Linked DNA regions of Caenorhabditis elegans. The protein of the gene in region 1 purifies or fractionates together with the protein of each later gene. This does not show direct contact. Each region holds a gene or a part of one and is shown in the gene's direction. Other genes may lie near its edges. The genes, in order: acs-18, R05C11.2, mif-4 and Y54E5A.2.

Region 1 (5,033 bases):
ATGATCCAGACTGTAAATCCTCCAACAGTGTCTGCTCTCCCATCTCCATCTGTTTCTCCTGCTCCAGTGCCAACAACCTCATGTGCTCCTCAGAAACCGTTGGTCGTTCAACCTCCAGTCCCGTTTGCTCCGAATCTGGCAGCCCAGACAGGAATGAAAGTATGTTTATTAGGAAAATGATTACAATGTCTAGAAATTATTTCAGCAGCGCCCACCATCCAACAACAATGTGGAAAAAAGTCTCTACTATTAAAAAGGAAAATGGACATTTAAATGAACTTTTTAAATAAGTATTTGCTGTGAATCAAACTTGGATGATTAATATTTTGTTCCTCTTTAGCTATTTTTCCTAGGCATGTAAAGTGTGCAGTAAAGGAATGGATACGCTTCACTAACAATAATTGGCCAAGCATTACTACACTGGACACACTTAGAAAGTTATTTCTCAATTTTTCATTTGATCTTGATAATTTCAAACTTGCTCGAAGTATGAGGAGAGCGATACACTTTTACCGGCTGCATGAAGAGGGATATAGCTTCCCAATTGTTGAATATCATTTTGAAATTTTTTCTATATTATACTATTCAAAACTGGAATCAAAATCGGTAAACAAACTTTTTGTAAGTTTTATACAAGCGATTAACAAAATATTGCAAACATGATGATGAAAAACTAGCTCAGTGTACAAAGTACAGTTTGAATAGATACATTTCCAGATAACATAAAAATTCTATCCAATCGTATTTTTGATTTGGCGAGCCACTGAAATTAGAAGTATAGCCATTAACGTAAACTTGTAAAAAATCTCCAGCAACTGTATTGATTGCACTCTTGAAATGACCTGCTGCCGTCCCAATCAAATCTCTTTTGTGGCGAACGATGGGGTTTTCAGACAGCTTTCCTTCTGGAAATAATATTTGATTTTCTATCATTTGAAATCAATAACCGTTACTAAAAGTATGTGTTATCTCTCTTTTACGTTTTCCAATTACATCCTCTGCCTGATAGAGCAATCCTTCGGCTTCACCAACAATATTATCAGCAATTCCAGCAACGGCTCCAAACAAGTCACGACGTTTTCTTGCAGGAAAAGAGTGAATTGATGGTGCAACCATTAGAACAATTATGATAGATATAAACTTCATTTTCAGTTTATTTTGAATTATAACATTGCTCTGAAGCTCGTTTTATATTGATGAAGTGCGTATAATCACAAGAAAAGTTCACATCAATACAGGAAGTCGAATTGTTTTTCCCTGATTATGATAATCATGTATACGAAACATTAGAAACTACAAATATTTGTGTACTTTACTGATAGAAAATTAAATTTATTTCGGTCTGTTGTTTGAAATTTGGCATGGTAGGCACTTTTACAGGCGTTCATTTCTTCTTGAAATTTTTGTGATGTAAAAAACTTTGACGAGTTCTTTTAAAAAAAAGGCAAAAAGCAGGATTAGTTTGAAAAATGTTGAAAGTTTGAAAAAGATAAAAAAGTTCTTAAAGATTTAAATTAACTTTAAGCGTGACACAGTGACATCTTCTACGCGGTTTTATCTTCAACTCACTGACAGTCAGTTTTCAAATTATTTCGTCTTAATTCTCGTGTGAACAAATATCTTACAAGTGACTCGCTGTCAGCTTACAATGTCCTATCGAGGATTAAATTTGATTACCCGACAAGTGATTTCACGCTTGACATTTCGATATTCTGGTCTTTTTACTAGGATTACTGTAAGTTGTGAAATTAAATTTCTATGGCGTCTCATAGAAATTGTGCGCGCGTCCTATAACTACCATCATATTCCGTGTTTCAGTACCCGATTTCCGTTCAAGATCGTGGATTCTTCTTTGGAAAACGTCGTGTACCAAGATGTGATCTAAAAAACCAATCGATTATTCAAGAAGATGGAGGTAGAAAGGCTGCGTGGCTTGGAGACGGTCCTCTACAACACGGATGGTTTGAAGGCGTTTTGACAACATATTCAGGGGTTTAATATTAATCAGATGTTTCAATAGACCAACGTTTACTTTAGATCCGTCGTGGACCAACTGTCGGTGGAAAAGAAATGTTGGGGAAAAGAGTGATGAAAGATGGAAAATTGGAATGGGAATGGATTTCATATGATCAAGCATTCGAAACATCTGATCATGCTTCACAAGCTATCAGAAAGTTGGGAATTGAAATTGGGGAAGAATCAAAAATTGGTATCTACTCGAATAATCGTCCAGAGGTAAAATAATAATTTTCAATCATGACAATCAATTGTTTCTGAATATTCAGTGGATTCTCTCAGAAATGGCAATACATAACTTCAGCAACGTTTCTGTTCCACTTTACGACACTATTACTAACGATGATATGCATTATATTACTAACCTTTGCGAAATTTCTTTGATGTTCGTTGACGCCGAAATAAAAACTAAACGTAAGTTTTTTTTTCTGAAAAAAAAGTGATCTACCTTTGTAAATTTCAGAACTCATTCGCGATAAGTCCTATTTATCAAGCTTGAAGTATATCGTTCAATTTAACGAGTGCTCAGATGACATTAAAGAAATGGCACGGGAAAATGATTTCCGTCTTTGGAGTTTCAATGAGTTTGTAGAAATGGGAAAGAAACAAAAGCATCGTCCACATGTTCCACCAACACCAGAAACATTGGCAACAATTTCATTCACTTCTGGAACAACTGGACGTCCGAAAGGTGTTATGCTGACTCATTTGAATATGTGCTCCGCCACAATGTCATGTGAAGAGTTTGAAAATGAAGCTGGAGTTCAAGATGCTTATCTGTCTTATCTTCCTCTTGCTCATATCTACGAAAGACTCTGCCTACTCTCTAACTTCATGATTGGATCGTAAGAAATTCAACTTCAATAATAATTTCCCGGTTTCAATTAACTTCAGGCGAATCGGATTTTCTCGTGGTGATCCCAAGCTTCTAGTAGATGACGTTCAGGCTCTGGCTCCTCGGTCATTTGCTACTGTTCCACGTGTTATTGATAAAATCCATAAGGCAGTCATGAAGCAAGTTCAGGATAAACCACTCAAGAAAATGATTTTGAATGCGGCAATAGCCTATAAACTATACCATTATAAGATGACGTAGGTTCCGATGGAACAGTTGAAAACACTTTTTAATCATTTTTTAGAGGCAAAGCTACTCGTAAAACATGGGTAGATAAGTATGTTTTGCATAAAATCCAGATGCTTCTCGGTCCTAACATCAGACAATTGATTCTTGGAGCTGCAAAATCAGACGTTTCCGCAATGAGGTTTGCTCGTGGGGCTTTTGGAGTTGAGGTTCTGGAAGGATACGGACAAACTGAAACATCTGGACCAACAACACTTCAATTGGTTGGAGATACACGTATTGGATGTGTTGGACCACCGATGGCTTGTGCGATGATAAAATTAATTGATGTTCCTGAACTTGGATATTCTGTTGATAAAAATGGTGGAGAAGTACTTGTGAAGGGTCATAACGTCACTTCAGGATATTACAAGAATCCAGAAGCAACTGCATCATCTTTCACTGAAGATGGATACATGAAAACTGGAGATATTGGAAGATTCACTGCTGAAGGATCTCTTCAAATTATTGATCGACGCAAAAACGTTTTCAAAATGCCACAAGGAAAGTTTGTGGCTCCAGATCTCACAGAATCCCTCTACACTTCTTCGAGTTTTGTCCAACAGATTTACGTTCATGGCGATATGGAAAAACCGTGGCTTGTAGCAATCGTTGTCCCAGATCCAGAGGTAATAATAATAATTTTATACTGTTTCAGAGAATTTCATATATGTGAAGTTCGATTCTTCTGTGTTTCTTTTATCGCTGATAATGATTGCGAAATGAATATTGACACTGGAGACTCAAAGCCGTTGATAGAGAATGAGATAGAGAATGACAAAAATGTCAACACTAGAATGAAACCGATTTTCGTCCGGTTCCATGGTGTAGCGGTTAGCACTCAGGACTTTGAATCCTGCGACCCGAGTTCAAATCTCGGTGGAACCTATCGTTTTTGTTATTATTTCTTCTAAAAACTTTTTTTTTCAGTATCTTGCTTCATATGCGCTAACCAAACACAACATCAATGGGAAAACCTATGAACAATTGTGCAACATTCCGATTCTCGCAGATGATGTGCTGCGACAATTTGTAGAACTCACAGAAGAAGATAAAAGGCCAAGATATGAAGGGGTACTGTTTAGGAATTTAGGAATTTCATGTTTATCACTGTTTAGGAATTTCATGTCAATAAATATTTAGTTTTTAACTTTAGGTGTACGGCGTTCACTTGACGCCAGTTGCTTTTTCGGCTGAAAATGGGTTGACAACACCTACATTGAAGAATAAGAGAAATGCTATCGCACAGTTTTTCAAAGCGGAAATTGATGGAATGTATAAGAAGATTGAGACTAGTGAACTTTCGAATTTGGCAAAATGAACAATAATGAAATTTCTGGAGAACTTAAAAAAGGCTTCTCCCAACGATCTGAGAAATTAGTTAAAGGTAACATGGAGATTGCAAAATACCATGTATTGAAGGCCGAGTAGCTTGAAAAAAATTGTTAAATGACCAAGCTTGACAACATTCGCGAATATGACATTTCCTACTCTACATGTTTTTGTTTTCAGATGTTCTTTTTTTCGAAGAGATTATAGTTTTCAAAGAGTTTTAACTCCACACAGACATCATCAGAGAAGAACAAATAAATCTAGTGAATTTCCCAAGTCGGTTTTTGTGAAAGATGGGAATCTTACTGTTCTCCCATATATTTTTTAAATAAAAGCAATGACAGGGTGTGTCTAGGCATATTTCGTTCAAAATATGAATCTCATTTTTCCTCTCTTCTTCTTCGCCCTTTTGGTAAGTATATAATGTTTAGAGTTTCTGTGTATGCCTTCATTTACAGGTTGGATCAAACGCCCAATTTCAACAATTTTGCAATTACTGTGGATTCATTGAAGTTCCAAAGACTTGGCCAGTAGCTCAAGATTCTCTGAGAAGTGCATGTGAAAC
Region 2 (3,976 bases), 8.3 Mb from region 1:
TCGGATATCAATTTGCCGGAAGTGTTTTTTCCGGCAAATCGGCAATTTTCTGGTTGGCCGATTTGCCTATAATTTCAATTCTGGTAATTTGCTGATTAGCCGGAAAAAATCGTTTGCCGCCCACCACTGGAGTAGAGTCAATTTTTTTGCTTTAAATAATAGAAAATGGGCCGTAATGACTAAATTCAACAGTAAATATTAGTAGGCAAGAATTATAATAACAGTTCAGTTTTGAGTTTAACTACCGTACCCTTACAGTACCCATACATTTAATCAACTCATATGAGTAGGGTAATAGGTGTAAAGAAGCTCTATACAAAGAAAAACTAATCTCATTCATTTTAAGATGTTCCAAGAAAATATTGGTTTCCGTTTCGCATGTTCATATATTTCCAATAACTAACATCTGGATGCAATGCAGGAAAATATTATTGCGGTTAGAATTTCCTGGAAGACGTTGGGAAGATGGGTATTTGTTTTTCAAGCTGGACAATTTTTAGATTATTTGTTTTAGAGCAGTACTTGGATTTGGGGAATTTATGAAAACCTGGAAAACTTAACAGGTAAATAGCTAAATTTGCATAGGGGTTATTTAGATTTTTTTTCGGCAATTTTGTCAGTTGTCAATTTTCCTATGAATAAATTATTTTTGCTATGCAATCTATGCAACAAAAAGAACAACGAAAAACTAACGGAAAGAAGCCCAGAAAAATTATTTAATTAGTGAAAGCGTCGAAAGTTTGGCTCTTTTCTTTTATTTCCAATTAACATATATTCGGTCAGAAAATTTGTAGACTCTATGTGATCAATGTTCTTGACTAGTGAAAAGGTACCGACTATGCATGTTGATAATTGGTAAGTGAGCATAGTTGGTACCTACAATTTCTACGTCACAACATCTTGACCGTTTTTCCCCCACAACGGGAGTGGCCTGTGAGCGTATAGAGAGAGTTGAGTTTGTAGAGATACACAGGCAATATAACTGCCTCCTACATATTTTGCGAGAGAGTGACCTTTAGCAGGTGAGCCTGTACAACAGTTTTGGAGCTGACAAAATCTGATGCTGAAAAAGAATTCGTGTGTCCTGCTGTGTGGAAAAACTGTCAAGATGTTGTGACTTAGAAATTGAATGTACCAATTACCACATGCAAACTAGAGTGCGAATTAAATTATTTCAACTTTCGGTCACTGCGGCATAACATTGACATCATGGCAAAAGTTCAGATTTTCGTTAAATTTGCATTTTTCTCCAAATTGTGAATCAACTTAAAGGGGGAGTAGAGTTTGTGGATATTTTGCTTAAATAGACTAAAACTGGTCCAAAACCACCGAATTTCATAATGAGACATCACAAAAAATTTCGAAAACTTTCGAAAAAAAAAAATACACGAATAGGAACATTGCAATCATTTTTAAATTCTTTTTTATTCTGCTAAGTTCCAGGTAACCCCAAAAAAACTCATGTAGCCAAAAATCTGATCTTCCATTTCACTTCTGTCTTTTTTAATGTCCAATTAACATTATTTCCTAATTAGATAAGAGTGGCAGATCAAGAGCAACCTAAACCAAGTTTTGCCAAAATCTTGCTCAATTTATGGCCCGACACGAGAAAAAGCTAGAGTTAGCACAGAACAGGCATATTTTATTTCTCCTACAGTGTAATACTTGCACGAAACGAAATTATTGTTAACAATGCAACTATTCAGAACCAGCTAGAGCAGCTGACAATGGATGAAACGAAGCTTTTGTCTGAAGTTTCTGGCTCATCGATATCAAGCACTTTGTGGTTCTACAACACTGTGATTATGAACAGCGTTGTTGAACGTCTCGATTTTTTTGATATGTATGTAAAGTCTTTTGATTTTTTTTAGCTTGAATTTTATTTTTTCAGACAAGTGCTCCGTAAAATTTCTTATGGAAGCCGTCAGTGCATCGACCTTATCAAACCAGACCATAAATTACTCAAAATCGGCATTCATGTTCAAAGCATTGGGTGCGCACTTCTTGAGATGTTTACCGAATCCACAAACCGAAAAGTTTCATATAAGGCTTCAAGATTATCCAGAAAATCTAGCGAGTTGGATTACGGCAACTTTTCAAACGACTTGTTCCTTATTTTGAAAAATCAAAAATCTGCTTTGGAAGAACTTAAAATGAATTTTATGCAAGTTGATGAAACCAGCGAGTCAAGTTTCAAGGATGTTACGGAAGAAGAAAAAAAATACATGGATGAAATTGAGGGGAATCCCCAGGAAACAGAAAGTCATTCAATCTGGGACCAGAATGAGAATCGATTTTTGAAATCGTTCAAAGATTTGCACGCCTCGCTGGGTCGATTGCTGCCAGTGGAAAAGTTGGTTGTCACAACAAGAAACCAAAAAACCATAGTGCAACTGCTCCAATCCGTGGATCCCTCTAAGCTGAACAAAATTGAGTTTGGAACATCTTTCGACGTACCTGCAAGTGATGTATGGAGCATTGAAGAGTTTTTGGTCATGGAACAATGGAGGAATGCGAAAGAGTTGACAATTATTAAGCGTGTTATCAAGTGTGATGTTGAAAATCTTGTTCACTTCAGAAAAGTTGACATAATTTTGGATTCGTTATCATTGAAAAATGTTATATATTTGAGAGATGTGAGTTCGAATATCTCATGTAATTTTTAAAAAAAAATAATTTCAGATGTTCCTAGTTTCACCGGACTTTCTCCAGTTCAAGGTCACATTTGTGAACAGTGACGTAAATAATTCTATATTTCAAGAAGGATTTTTGGGAATTCCGTTTCGCATAGTTACCGATTCTACAAATAATCAACCTAGCATTTGGTTTTTCAATTGCATGAACGACACAGATGATCTACAAATTCGATATTATCAAAATCTTAAAAAATTCATGTTTAATCGTATTCCGAGGGAATCTAGTCCGGCTATTCCGAGGGAATCTAGTCCGGCTAGGTGCTAGAGCTGTTGTAAAGGTCACTTCCCTGTTCCTCGCCAACGGGACGAAAAGTTGTCCCTAATGATTTTTTTTTCAAATATTAATTTTTCACCTGATTTAAACTAGGGCTCCCATGAGGTCGCCGCAAAGGCGCCTTCGCCCGCCTCAGCGGTCGCCGCGCCGGCCTCACGGCGTCACTCTCGCCTTTCACTGAATTACACATAAACTTTTATTTTCATTTCTTATATTTTTTTTCTAAATTTTCAACGAATTTTTGAAAATTAAAATTTAAAATTCACGTCATTATTATTGAAAGCGGCGAACGGCGAAGGCGAAGGCCGGCCGGCGTGAGGCCGGCGTGAGGCCCGCATTTTGCGCCTCACTCAGCTGGGAACCCTAATTTAAACAATACTTTCATGTGCATGAATCTTTTGTACGTTTAAATATAATTTTTAATGGCGTGGATATAGATATTTCACGTACTATTTTTATAAATAAATAAATTCACTTATAATAAATTTAAACATTTATTTCTTAATTATTCTCAATTTACTGTGCACCTTTTCATATTTTACGGTAAAGTTAAATGTATCTAAATATTTGTTTAACCTGAAAATATTGTGCAACATAAAAAAAAAAAAAATATATATATATACAAAATGGACGCACTTTGACAAAATGAAAGCATAAATCAATAATAAGTCTCACTATGAGAAATGATTGAATAATTAAATAAATAAAAAATTTCAAGCTGGAAACTTGCTGGAAAAGGTGATAATTGAACTTTTTCTTAATTAAGAAATTTTCTTCAAACGAATGTTTCCGCGGTATTAAATTTTTTTATTGAAGCAAAAAGCGCAGAGATCGAAGATTTTTACATAAAAATTCCATATATTCCAACAAACATGGAAGAATTTTGAAAGAAGCACATGAGAAAAAGCACCGAATAATGATGAATTTTTAACCAAAAAATTCGAAAAAAATCACAAAAATACAGAAAAATTGAAGAAGCCGGGTGATTGAAAAAAAATCAATAAAT
Region 3 (3,063 bases), 4.0 Mb from region 1:
GAAATCAGAAAAAATTGTACCTTGTGTATTTGAACTGCTAAAAAATGGTCGTTCTGGTGTTAAACCATCAATTGTACTCGGATGTCGGCGGAGCAGTGGAAGGGATGTTCGATGGATCAGTGTACTTGTGGTAGCCATATCTAAAAAAGGTAATAATTATTTATTACTCGGAAGTGAAATTTTACGATTTTTGCGCCAGATATACGGTAGCCGGTCTCGCCACGAACAATTTTAGTTAAATGCGACAAGGTCTCGGTTGTTGCGGAATTTTTATAGAATTTCATAGTTTTTTAGACAAAAAACACTTTTATTTATGTTTAAAACAACTCAAATATAACAATAAAACGCATGAATTCCAACAAATCGATGCTACAGTAATCTTTAAAGGCACACGTCTTTTCACATTTCCTATGCTTGTCGTGTCGAGACCGTGTGCCGTATTTCTGGCGCAAAAAACAACAAAATTTCGCTTTTGAACAATAATTAAATAAAAAAGAAATTTAAAAAATGAGACGTGGGAATTGTATACGGTTAATTTCAAAGAATTCACGGGAAAATTCATTGAAAAAATTCAAATCTCAGAAAAAAAGTGAAGAGTGAACAGTTTTAGAAACCTTGTCAGTTTGGAAAACTACGTGATAACTCAAAAGAACGGAAGAAAGTTTCTCACTTTTCCGTGTCTCTCTGTAATCTCTTGACAAAGCCCACTATTTCAGGCCATCAGAGAACAGGGTCGGGAGGATCACGCCACTCGTTTCAACACTCAGTAGTCCACAGCTTGCACTACCCACATTGTTTCTCCGTCTGCGTATCCACGTCTTATGTTGTCTCTCGCATTGTCTTTCTATTTCTGAGTCTCTTGCACCTCTCTGTCATCATGCATATATACAATTGAAATGGAAAGGACAGACTGCACTAAACCGAAAAGCACGTGGTCTTGTCTGGGAGGAGAAGAATGTTGAAGACAAATCACACGACAACGTGATATGTGACGTCACAGAGGGGAGTCCCCACGTGACAGGTACTTTAATGAGACAGAGAAAGTTCGAAATGTTGAGTCACGAATCGCGAACGGAATTGAGCCGAGTGGAAAAAAAGAGTTGGAAATTTCGAGATGAGCAGCCAGCTGATTTAGTCTACAGTAATCTAGAATAACTAAACAAAAGTTTTTGAACCTATTCCAGCTTTATGAGTCATGAAAAATGGAGCGCAGCAATAAAAATATGGTGTACGAATTTCAGGAAATACTTCTCGTTAACAAAGATAGTTTGAAACTACAGTACTGTTCAAAGCGCTGACATGGTTGTGTCTAAGAAAAATTGTCGTACCGAGACCTGGTACCGTATTATTATAGCAAAAATCGCGAAAATCTGCATCTGAATAATATCAACTACATAACTGAGATCGTGGCGAGACCCTAATGAAATTACGATAATATAAATAATATTGATTCAAAACTGTGATTCTTGCTTCTAGTTGTTGCAACACATTCTGATCTGTGTCTCCCTAACCTACTTCCGATTTTCACCAAAAAAACCGTGTGCCCAACCCAAAATTCAAGGTCAAACTTATTTCCATTTCCCCGTACTAATTGTTTCCATGTCATCCCATTTCTGTCCATCCTGCGCACATAACATTGACAAATGGAGTTGTGTATTTATTGTCGAGTGCACGCTCTTTTCTTCGAGCGACATGTTTTCTCAGCTGGCTGAGCATTTTTTCCCGTTGGTTTTTATGTTGCGAAACGACAATTTCTCTTTTTTTTAAAATATTTTCAAGCCGAATTTCAAAATTTTAGAATTAAAATGCAAGTTGTTCGAATTCAAACCAACATCCGAAGTGCTGATATTCCAGAAAAGTTTGAAGTAAGTTTGCATAAAACGAAATTTCTAATTTCTAATATTTTCAGCAAGATGTGATCTACAATTTATCAGTTGTAATGGAATTACCAGCTGATAAATTCGTGATTATTGTTGAGCCGGCAGTTAGAATGAGAATTGGATTTGAGAATAAAGAAATTCCAGTTGCAATTGTAAATGTGCGTTTTTTTTTATTTTGAAAAAATATTAGGCTTGGGTCTTGTCACGTGTAAAATTTTTCAGCTACAGTAACCTGTGTATTTTTCAAAATCTGAAAACTTTTTTATAATTAAAATTTTTTTAATCGAGAAGAAATGTGTGAAAAATAGAAAAACTAACTAGATTCATAAAATATAAGTTAATTTTATGAGAAAAATATTTTTAACTAAAAAGTGATAGAATACCGGGGTACGGTAGCTGACAAGTTTTGGACGTGCCGGGACCAGAGACCGTGTTTTTTTTTTTTGAAAATGTCAACTCGTTGAAAATTAAGAATAACAATTTTCAGTTCCAAACAACCCGGCCTTCTTCTCGAATCGAAAATGACTCATATGCAAAAAAATTGACATCAGTGCTCAATGAGCAGTTGAAGCTTGATCCCGCCCATATTTTCATATCATTTGATTTTAAAGATGCAAAAAGTTTTGCAACTCAAGGGAAGACAATTGCTTCTTTGTATGAATAAATTTGTAAAAAAGTTGAAACGCATGGATTTAACAATGAAGTAAACATCTGAAAACATCGAAAAAAACAAGACAAAGCATAATTCATAAGTTATTTTATAGCAAAAGGGAGGGAGCAAAATTAGCATTAATGAGAAATAGAAACTTTGACAAGAAAATGTAAAAATAAGTTATGCTGAATATAATGACTAGAGTTACATAAATTATTGAACGGAATGTGAATAAGAAATCACACATTAATTTAGTTACAGAAAAGCTGGAAATAGTTTGAGATTGAGCTGGCTTATTGGCTTTGCTGTTGGATGTTGGTGAGCTTGGATTCTGAAATTAAAAATCTTTGAATTTTTTCTTGAAAGGCTTAACCTACCGAGTTGGGTAACATAATTTTCAAGAACAGCGGTAGCTTCCTCCAATCTCCGGGTGCTCTCATCCATAGCATCAATTTGGGAAAGATATGGACGCAGATTCTCGTCTGGAAAATAATCTTTCATAAATTTTCCGAAATAAATAATAAAGGCATA
Region 4 (7,741 bases), on another chromosome or scaffold:
AAATTTCCAAAACTTTACAATCTTTTAGAAAATCTAATTCTACACAATTTTGCTTTTACAGTATGCTTCTACCTATCTTACTTGCAGAGATACACCGCTTCAAAGTTTTGAAGGCGAGAGAGTGTGGAAGAGGGAGAGAGCGCAGTGTCTGCGCACTCCCCTCCCCCACACTTTCTCACCCCGTCGAATTTGAAACGCGTGTAACTCTGTGGAAAAAAGAGGTAGAGAAACAATGATAACTGCAAAAATGTAGAGAATTTTGAGGAGAATATTTTGTTGGCTGAGAAAATTTTGATATCTTCATTTTTCAGGAAGATATAGGGGGCTTAAGAAATATTTAGTTAAAAATTCGTAAAACCACGCACAAACAAGTAAAAAATAGCGCGAGTGCTTTTTAAAGCAAAACATCTAGCAAAGGTTGCACATTTTCAAACTAAAAATTTATATTTTTCAATAAATTCAAAGGCACATATGCTCTCTGAGACAAAAAGTGATAAATTGGAAACCTTATAGGATGAAAAGCCAGAGGGGGAAATTGGTTGGTTAGCAACCACCTGAATCCAGTTTCCGTTGCTCTTGGAGCACACACATACGGAAAGGTGGACTTATTGCGTAGAGAATGCAACTATACATGCAAATAGAAAGGAAGGAACTGTGTGTGTGTGTGTTTTGAGAGCGAGACGGGAGAGGGAAGCGATGCTCTTTTTTTCCAATGATTCACTAGGTATTGGTCATTTTCGTGGTAAAACAAACAGTTTCAGACAGTAGAGTATAGGGAAATTGATAATGAAAACTAGACGGAAACATTATGAAATATCATTTGGAAAACTAAAAATTGAAAATTCAAATTCAAACATTCATTTTTCATAAATTTCATAAATGCTAAAACTCAAAACGTTATCCAGTAGAAAATCCAATTCTACACATTCTTGTCTTTTACACTACCTCTCTATCTTTCCTACCCGCCGAGTTACACCACGCTGAAGTTTTGGCGGGTGAGAGAGTGTGGGGGAGGGGGAGAGCGCAGGCAGTGTCTGCACTCTCCCCCTCCCTCGCGCTCTCTCACCCGCCAATCTTAAAACGCCTGTCACTTTGAGCAGAGGAGTGCAATTAAAATATTGTAAATTGCAAAAATGTACAGAATTTCAAGGCGTATATTTTGTTAGTTAAGTAAAATTTGGTAGAATAAGCTTCCGGTTAGATATGGCACTTTTGGCTCTTACCCAATAAATGCAGAATATCTTTGTAGAGCAAAACACTGCTCAAATACACTTTTTAGTTTGAATTTCAGGAAAAAAAAACAAGAAACTAAAAAAAACTCCGAACAATTTGTTTTTATTGCAATATATAGAGAATCAAATTCTGAACATTTTTCCTTTTTACAATATTTTTGTATCTTTCCTCTCTGCAAAGATACACCTCTTCTAAGTTTCGGTGTTGAGAGCGTGGAGGGAGAGGAGAGTGCAGGCAGTATATCTCTCTGCACTCTCGCCCTCCCCCACACTCTCTCACCCCAAAAAACTTCAAACGCTCACAACTTCACGCAGAGAAATGCTATCAAAAAGTGTTTAACTAACAAAATGTAGAGAATTTCACGGGGTATATTTAATTTTTAATTAAATTTTCGATACGATTTATTTAAAAAATATGTTTTTAAAAATAATTTATCACGTAAAAACTTTTTAAATCCATTGAAAAATCAATCTGCTTCATTTCTCCAAACCAACCATGGTTTTGTTGTTCAATTTTCTGAAACTTATGCTTTTTTCGACAGTGCATGGAATTGTTATCGAGTTTGGTAAGGAGACCTCTTCGCTGGAGCGCGTTTGCAGCCCCTTTCTGCAAAGTCTCAAATCTACTGTTTTTTTTTCAGAAAGACGAGCGGAACTCTACTCCCTGTACTCCTCAATTCCATTATCAAAAGACACGTGGAGATTTGAGAATTACCTGAACGTTCACAAGTACAACAATATACTATTCGACGGAAAAATCTTGGAATTCGACTCACTGGGATGGTTAAATGGGAATCAGACGATTTATCACAAATTACCATATTTTATATCGAATCCGGCGTTTCGAATTCCTCATATATCAAAGGAATTGTGTGATTCTAACGGGTTCTTTAATATTGGATTTCGCATTTTTCAGGTTTAATTTTTTTTTCTATTTATTCGATAATTTTTATATAATATTGTTGAATTTTAGCTTTTCGGGCCTAAAAATCTATAAAAACGGCAAAAGTTCGGTGGAGCGCGTTTGCACACTCGCGAATCGTGCCAAGACCAGTTTTAATCAATTTTTAAGATCATAGACAAATGCAGCTGTTTTTCTGCTAGATTTTATATGTTTCTAGTGAGCAAATTCATTTCATGAGCAAAAGAGAAAAAAAAATGATTAAAATAAATTTGGTGAAGCGCACTTTTACACGTGGTGTCAGGCGTTTTCCATAAAGTTTTGTAGATTTTAGTGTTAAAGTTCAAAATTTAGACATGTTATAGAGGCGTAGCGTAAATTTGAATGATCTACAATAAAATGCGGAAATTTTTTGCCCAGTAAAATGTGTCGCCAGCACACTTACAAAATTTGTTGAGAAATCTGCGACTCAATTCCCGCATTTTTTGAAGATCACACCGAAATGGGACACTCTGACCACGTGTTTTATTATCTTTTGCGGGCTTATTCACATGAAAAAAACCGTTTTTTTTCTATAAAATTTTGTAGATTTGAGTGTAAAAGTTCAAAATTTAGACCTGTTATAGGGGCGGAGCGTAAATTTTCAATTGTTTTTCCCGCCCCTTTTTTTTTGAGATCGCCTTCCCCCGATATTTAAATTCTCCAGAAAACGCTGCCCCTGCATCAAAATCAACGTTATTTTGCAGAAAACTCGCGAAGCGGGCCTCCCGTACCAACCGCAATGTGCCACGTGTCATCCGATAATTGAAGGTCTCCATCAAATGTACTACGTATTCCCGGAACGTGATTTCACTCAGATTTTCACGAAATTGACGATCGGCTCTCGAAAAATCAATAATTTATTGCACTATTGTAGTCGGGAGGATTGTGAACAGGAGCCACGTGTCTCGAATTTTCAGGATTACTTGAGAATTAATAGTGAGTGTATTATTTAACTTGGCTGAAAATTAGACGAACTAGCTGAAATTACCCTCAAAGTATCAGAAATTTATTTCTGAATTCAATGAGTCTAGTTAAGCATAGCATACATATCACAAGCCTTCATTATCTCTCAAGGGTACTCCTAAGGTGCTTAGTAGGTACAGTGCACCCAACAGCTACTTTTTTATAGAAAACTAGTATTGGAATTGGAATCAGCATACCAAAAAACCTATGGATCTATAATTTTATCATGATATCTCAAAAGTTGAGTGCAAAAGAGCAAAAAGTTGAAAAATCGACCGCCCAACTGCTATGGGACCCCCCCCCTGCGATTTTCGACAATTTCGCCGAAAATTCTCATTTTTTCAAGAAGCATAAAATTTTTCAGTTTCAAAAATACATTTAATGTAGTAATTTGGTGGTGTAATTTTTGTTTTTCATATCATCGAAATAACTGGAAACCTGCAAAAGCTTGATTTTCAACTTTTTATGACCTTTAAGCCCGACATGAAGCTACTGAGCGGGCTATTTTTTTAAGTTGTAAATGGCTTTTAGCAAGTTTTTTGGTGCCACTTGGTGTTTAAGCTCGTATCTGAGCAGCCGATGGAGCTTTCTTTACAAAATTTTACAGGCTATTTTGCTTAAAAATCCACAAATCATGCACCATAAACAATAGCTTCATCATACTTAAAATAATGTAGTACCATTAAAAACCCTAAGCTTAGTACTTTTGAAGCTTGTATAGTTTATCTAGAACTAGCTTATATCTGTAAATCATCCCGAAATTGAGCCAAATTAACTGAAAATTATTGTGAGCACATTTTTGATTCCAGTCCCTGTGACGCCGTTTTCCTTTTTATATCTTTTGCCAAACTACACCTTCCACAGACCTGCATTTTGGAAAGGTGACAAGATGGAGTGGAGAGCATGGAGCCACTGAAACCGACAGAGAAGCTATAGGGCTCCCCAATGGAGAGCTGGCGGTTGGTTTCCAGGACTTTACTCTCTGAAAAACTCAAAAATTTACAGATTCATTCTCGAAAAATTGAAGGATTTACTACAATGTGTGGAATTGAGTTGAATGGTAAAATTGTGAGCAGCTATAACTTTGTGAATGAGGATATTATTGGGGACGGAGAGCAGAATGGTAAGCTTTATTGACTTTATCGTATAGAAATTCAAATTCTGATTCTTTCTTCGTTTTCCATGATTTCTCTATCTCTACTCCCCGCCGAGATATACCCCGCTTTGAAGTTTTATTAGCGAGAGAGCGCGGAGGAGGGGGAGAGTGCAGACACTGCCAGCGCTCTCCTTCTCCTCTACACTCTCGCATTGGGAAAACTTTGAAAGCTTGTAACTTTGCGCAGAGGAATGCTATCAAAGAGTTGTCAACTGCCGAAATGTATAGAATTTTAATGAGCATATTTTGTTAGTTGGCAACTTTTTCGTGTGATCATTTTTTAAGGAAAAAACTCAGAAATTCCAAAATCCATATAACGTTCTTTATGGATCCCTAGTTAACAACCCTTTCATTTTAATTTATCAGGAAGATATCAAAATTCTGGCAATTAGTTGACAGATGACAAAATATAGAGAATTCCATTGAAAATACAGTTTCAGATAAAATCTTCACCTACGAAAACTACGAGTCTCTGGAAATTTCAATAAACTCTGTGAACGACACTAAGAACAATATTCAATTGTTCATCTCCTGGGATGATTGGGGTTGCTGTTCGGCGTGCTGCTGTCCCACCTCAATCTGTGGACATGATTATGAGACTGCTAGTGATTGGTCAGTTTTCACCTCTTATTTTTAGTACATATTTAAAATTTTCAATGAAAATCAATATTCCGCTCGCACCCGAGTTGGGCATTTGTCGATTAGGAAGTGGAAAATGGAAAAGGAAGCGCAGGTAAGATGGAAGTTATTTGAAGTGGCTGTAGCTTTGTAATAGTACAAGCTACCAAATAGTTATCAACTGACAAGTTGTAGGAAATTAATTTCTCTACAGATTACCAACTTTTTGATAGCTAGGTAACTTTGCGGAGATACAGGAGTTCCTCCAAGATAGTTCGAAAGCTTTCTAGCTCCGTTCAGATGTAAGATCTCAAAGTATTGTTAGCTAGCAAAATGTAGCAAATTAGATTCTTTATAGAATTAACTACTTTTAGTTAACTACTTTTTGGCACCTACAAAATTCTCCGAGTTATAGGAGTTTTGAGATAGCGCTTCACTTCCCCCAGAAGACTAGCCCAAAACCTGTCTAATCCCGTTCAGATACTTGATATCAAAAAGTTGTTATCTATGATAGCAACTTGTAGAAAATTAAATTCTCTACAAAGTGTTCGTTTTACAATTCCCATCACCTCTCACCATTTCAATTTCCAGCCCAACCAACCCAGCGAGTCACTGAACCAACTTCACAGACTGCTCTCAATCCCTCCGTATGCTCATCAGGGAATTCCATTGTTCTCGTCATTGTTGAAAAGAATTGTGCTTGAGGATATTTTAAGAGATATCCGAAGTGATTTGGTGCCAAAGTTCATTGTAGCTAACAAGGCTGCTGGGTAAGTTGAAAGGGAATTTTTAGGTTTTGAGGGGAGGTGGTTAAAAGCTTCTTTAAAACCCCCATATCTTTGCGCAAAAATGAGATACGAAGAAAGTATCAATTAATCAACTTAACTACTTTAAATTTGCTTGAAATTTCTAGTTGACAAGTTTTCTGTAGCTCTTACGGATTCGGAGCTACAGAAATCATAAAAACAGGTGTATTTTTGCGTGGGTGGGAGGCAGAATATTTGTTTTAATTAATAAAATAAACTACATAAAATTTTCTACAAATTGTTAGTTGACAACTTTTATGTAGCTCCTATTACCACCGAGATAAAGCCCGCTGAAATTTTTCTCAAAAATGCTAAAAAACTTTTTTTTTTCCAAAGTTTCAAAATCTTTTTCGCCCATCTTGTAGAGCATGAAATTCTGAGCATTTTTCAATTTTGAGATACACCGCTTTAAAGTTTCTGCGGTGTCTGCGCTCTCCCCTCGCCACACACTCTCTCACTTACCTTGCAAACTTAAAACGCTTATAACTCTGCGGAAAGCAAAGCTAATGAAATTTTGTAAATGGACAAAATATAGGAAATCGAATTCTCTACATTTTGGCAATTAACAGTTTTTTTGATACGACTGCTGTTTCCAGGCACAAATTCACGTCTGGAATGTTCATCGAATTAGAGTCCTGCAAGTCGAATATTCAAAAGACGAATTGCTACGAGTGGGCCAAGTGCCACAATATTTCGATGGTAAGTTCAGTGTAGACAGGCAGGCATGTAGGCATACCTACGTTTAGGAAGACGTCCACGTGGAATCCGAGGAGCAAGTTTCCGATTCGTGTCAGCAAGTGCAATTTATCGATGTGCTCGTTGGAATGGATAATATGAAAGTGACGTGGGTTTTTGCTTCCTTAGTTCAGTAGAGCGCAATTGCAAAATGGGAGACATTGATAAGGACTCGATCATGTTTAAATTTGATTAGGAAATTATTGTCAATCGGATGCAATTGTGCTCTATCGCAAAATTTTCTGGAACAATCGATATTAACAATATCGATTTTTTATTATCGATTCCACAAAAATGCCTACTTGTTCGATAGAGCGCTTTTACATCATCAGGAGCAAAATTATCGATTTTTCAGCGTCGGAGCCCACCAACATCTCCGTATCCGAATGGATTCAGAAGTTCACGATATGCGAACCACGTCCGCCAAATGGAGAATTGATCTTCGAAAACCCAAAAAATACGATAAGAACCGCCCGTGTCTGCTGCAGGGAACCGTGCAACGTGGCGGCGAGCTACTCATTCTTGACTTTTCCACGTGGCACATGAAAATTGATTTGATTTTGGCGAAGGAACGGAAGAAGGTTCGAATCACTTTTCATAATTTAAAGTGAGTTTGGAAATTTTTTGGGAATTTTTCAGATTTTCTTTTTCAGATTTTCAATTTTCAAATGTTTCCAATTTTCCCTGAAACTTTTTATAACATTTAACAATTTCGATTTTTTTCAATTTTCAGAATTTTTCGAAAATTGCTACTAGTTGGGAAAATTCTGGGAAATTAATGTTTTTTTTGAAAATAATGGAATTTTATCGATTTTCCAGAATTTCCTGGAGTTTGATTTATTGCCAAATAATTTTTGGAAAAGTCTGAATAGTTAAAAAAAAAGTTGAAAAACGTCCGAAAAAACGTCGGAAAAATTTCAAATTTTTTTAAGGTTTAAAAATTCAAAAAAATGCGATTTTTAAAAAAAATTTTTGATTTTAGAATTTTCGGGATATTTCAGAAATATCGATTTTACAGAATTTTTTGAGGCTTTTCATGGAATTTGGAATTTTGGGGAATATATATTTGATAACAAATTTCGAACTTTCAGAGTTGACGAGAAGGTTTCTGCAATACAAAATACTGTATTCTATTGGGCGCTGGCAATTGCTGGTAAGAGTTTTTGAAGAAAATTAAAATTGAAATAGTGAGAATTTACAACAAAAAATTCCAATAATTTAATACTTCTGAAAACTTATCGCGTCTAATGAAAGTAAAATGCTGAATTTCAAAAAAAAAGAATCAGCT

Evidence for each region.
Region 2: the proteins of acs-18 (region 1) and R05C11.2 fractionate together in Caenorhabditis elegans (co-fractionation; one large-scale study listed by BioGRID). This does not show direct contact.
Region 3: the proteins of acs-18 (region 1) and mif-4 fractionate together in Caenorhabditis elegans (co-fractionation; one large-scale study listed by BioGRID). This does not show direct contact.
Region 4: the proteins of acs-18 (region 1) and Y54E5A.2 fractionate together in Caenorhabditis elegans (co-fractionation; one large-scale study listed by BioGRID). This does not show direct contact.

What each region holds. Positions count from the first base shown.
Region 1 is NC_003282.8:10,310,222-10,315,254, reverse strand, and holds acs-18 (Long-chain-fatty-acid--CoA ligase), read left to right. Parts: upstream 1-1,589; 5' UTR 1,590-1,648; coding exon 1,649-1,735; intron 1,736-1,818; coding exon 1,819-1,992; intron 1,993-2,037; coding exon 2,038-2,235; intron 2,236-2,285; coding exon 2,286-2,430; intron 2,431-2,479; coding exon 2,480-2,861; intron 2,862-2,910; coding exon 2,911-3,108; intron 3,109-3,155; coding exon 3,156-3,765; intron 3,766-3,830; exon of another isoform or gene 3,831-3,851; intron 3,852-3,945; exon of another isoform or gene 3,946-4,036; intron 4,037-4,066; coding exon 4,067-4,210; intron 4,211-4,292; coding exon 4,293-4,457; 3' UTR 4,458-4,507; downstream 4,508-5,033. Other genes in the region: R09E10.8 (Saposin B-type domain-containing protein), read left to right, coding at 4,842-4,880, 4,927-5,033.
Region 2 is NC_003282.8:2,056,863-2,060,838, reverse strand, and holds R05C11.2 (DUF38 domain-containing protein), read left to right. Parts: upstream 1-1,727; coding exon 1,728-1,843; intron 1,844-1,891; coding exon 1,892-2,636; intron 2,637-2,682; coding exon 2,683-2,961; 3' UTR 2,962-3,461; downstream 3,462-3,976.
Region 3 is NC_003282.8:6,334,730-6,337,792, reverse strand, and holds mif-4 (Macrophage migration inhibitory factor), read left to right. Parts: upstream 1-1,798; 5' UTR 1,799-1,805; coding exon 1,806-1,865; intron 1,866-1,909; coding exon 1,910-2,038; intron 2,039-2,367; coding exon 2,368-2,544; 3' UTR 2,545-2,563; downstream 2,564-3,063. Other genes in the region: ipla-6 (PNPLA domain-containing protein), read right to left, coding at 21-138; blos-2 (Biogenesis of lysosome-related organelles complex 1 subunit 2), read right to left, coding at 2,826-2,863, 2,910-3,014.
Region 4 is NC_003279.8:14,692,442-14,700,182, forward strand, and holds the start of Y54E5A.2 (Recep_L_domain domain-containing protein), read left to right. Parts: upstream 1-1,712; 5' UTR 1,713-1,728; coding exon 1,729-1,798; intron 1,799-1,873; coding exon 1,874-2,148; intron 2,149-2,879; coding exon 2,880-3,111; intron 3,112-4,002; coding exon 4,003-4,097; intron 4,098-4,143; coding exon 4,144-4,261; intron 4,262-4,734; coding exon 4,735-4,906; intron 4,907-4,999; coding exon 5,000-5,027; intron 5,028-5,503; coding exon 5,504-5,682; intron 5,683-6,314; coding exon 6,315-6,417; intron 6,418-6,464; coding exon 6,465-6,562; intron 6,563-6,808; coding exon 6,809-7,060; intron 7,061-7,544; coding exon 7,545-7,606; intron 7,607-7,741.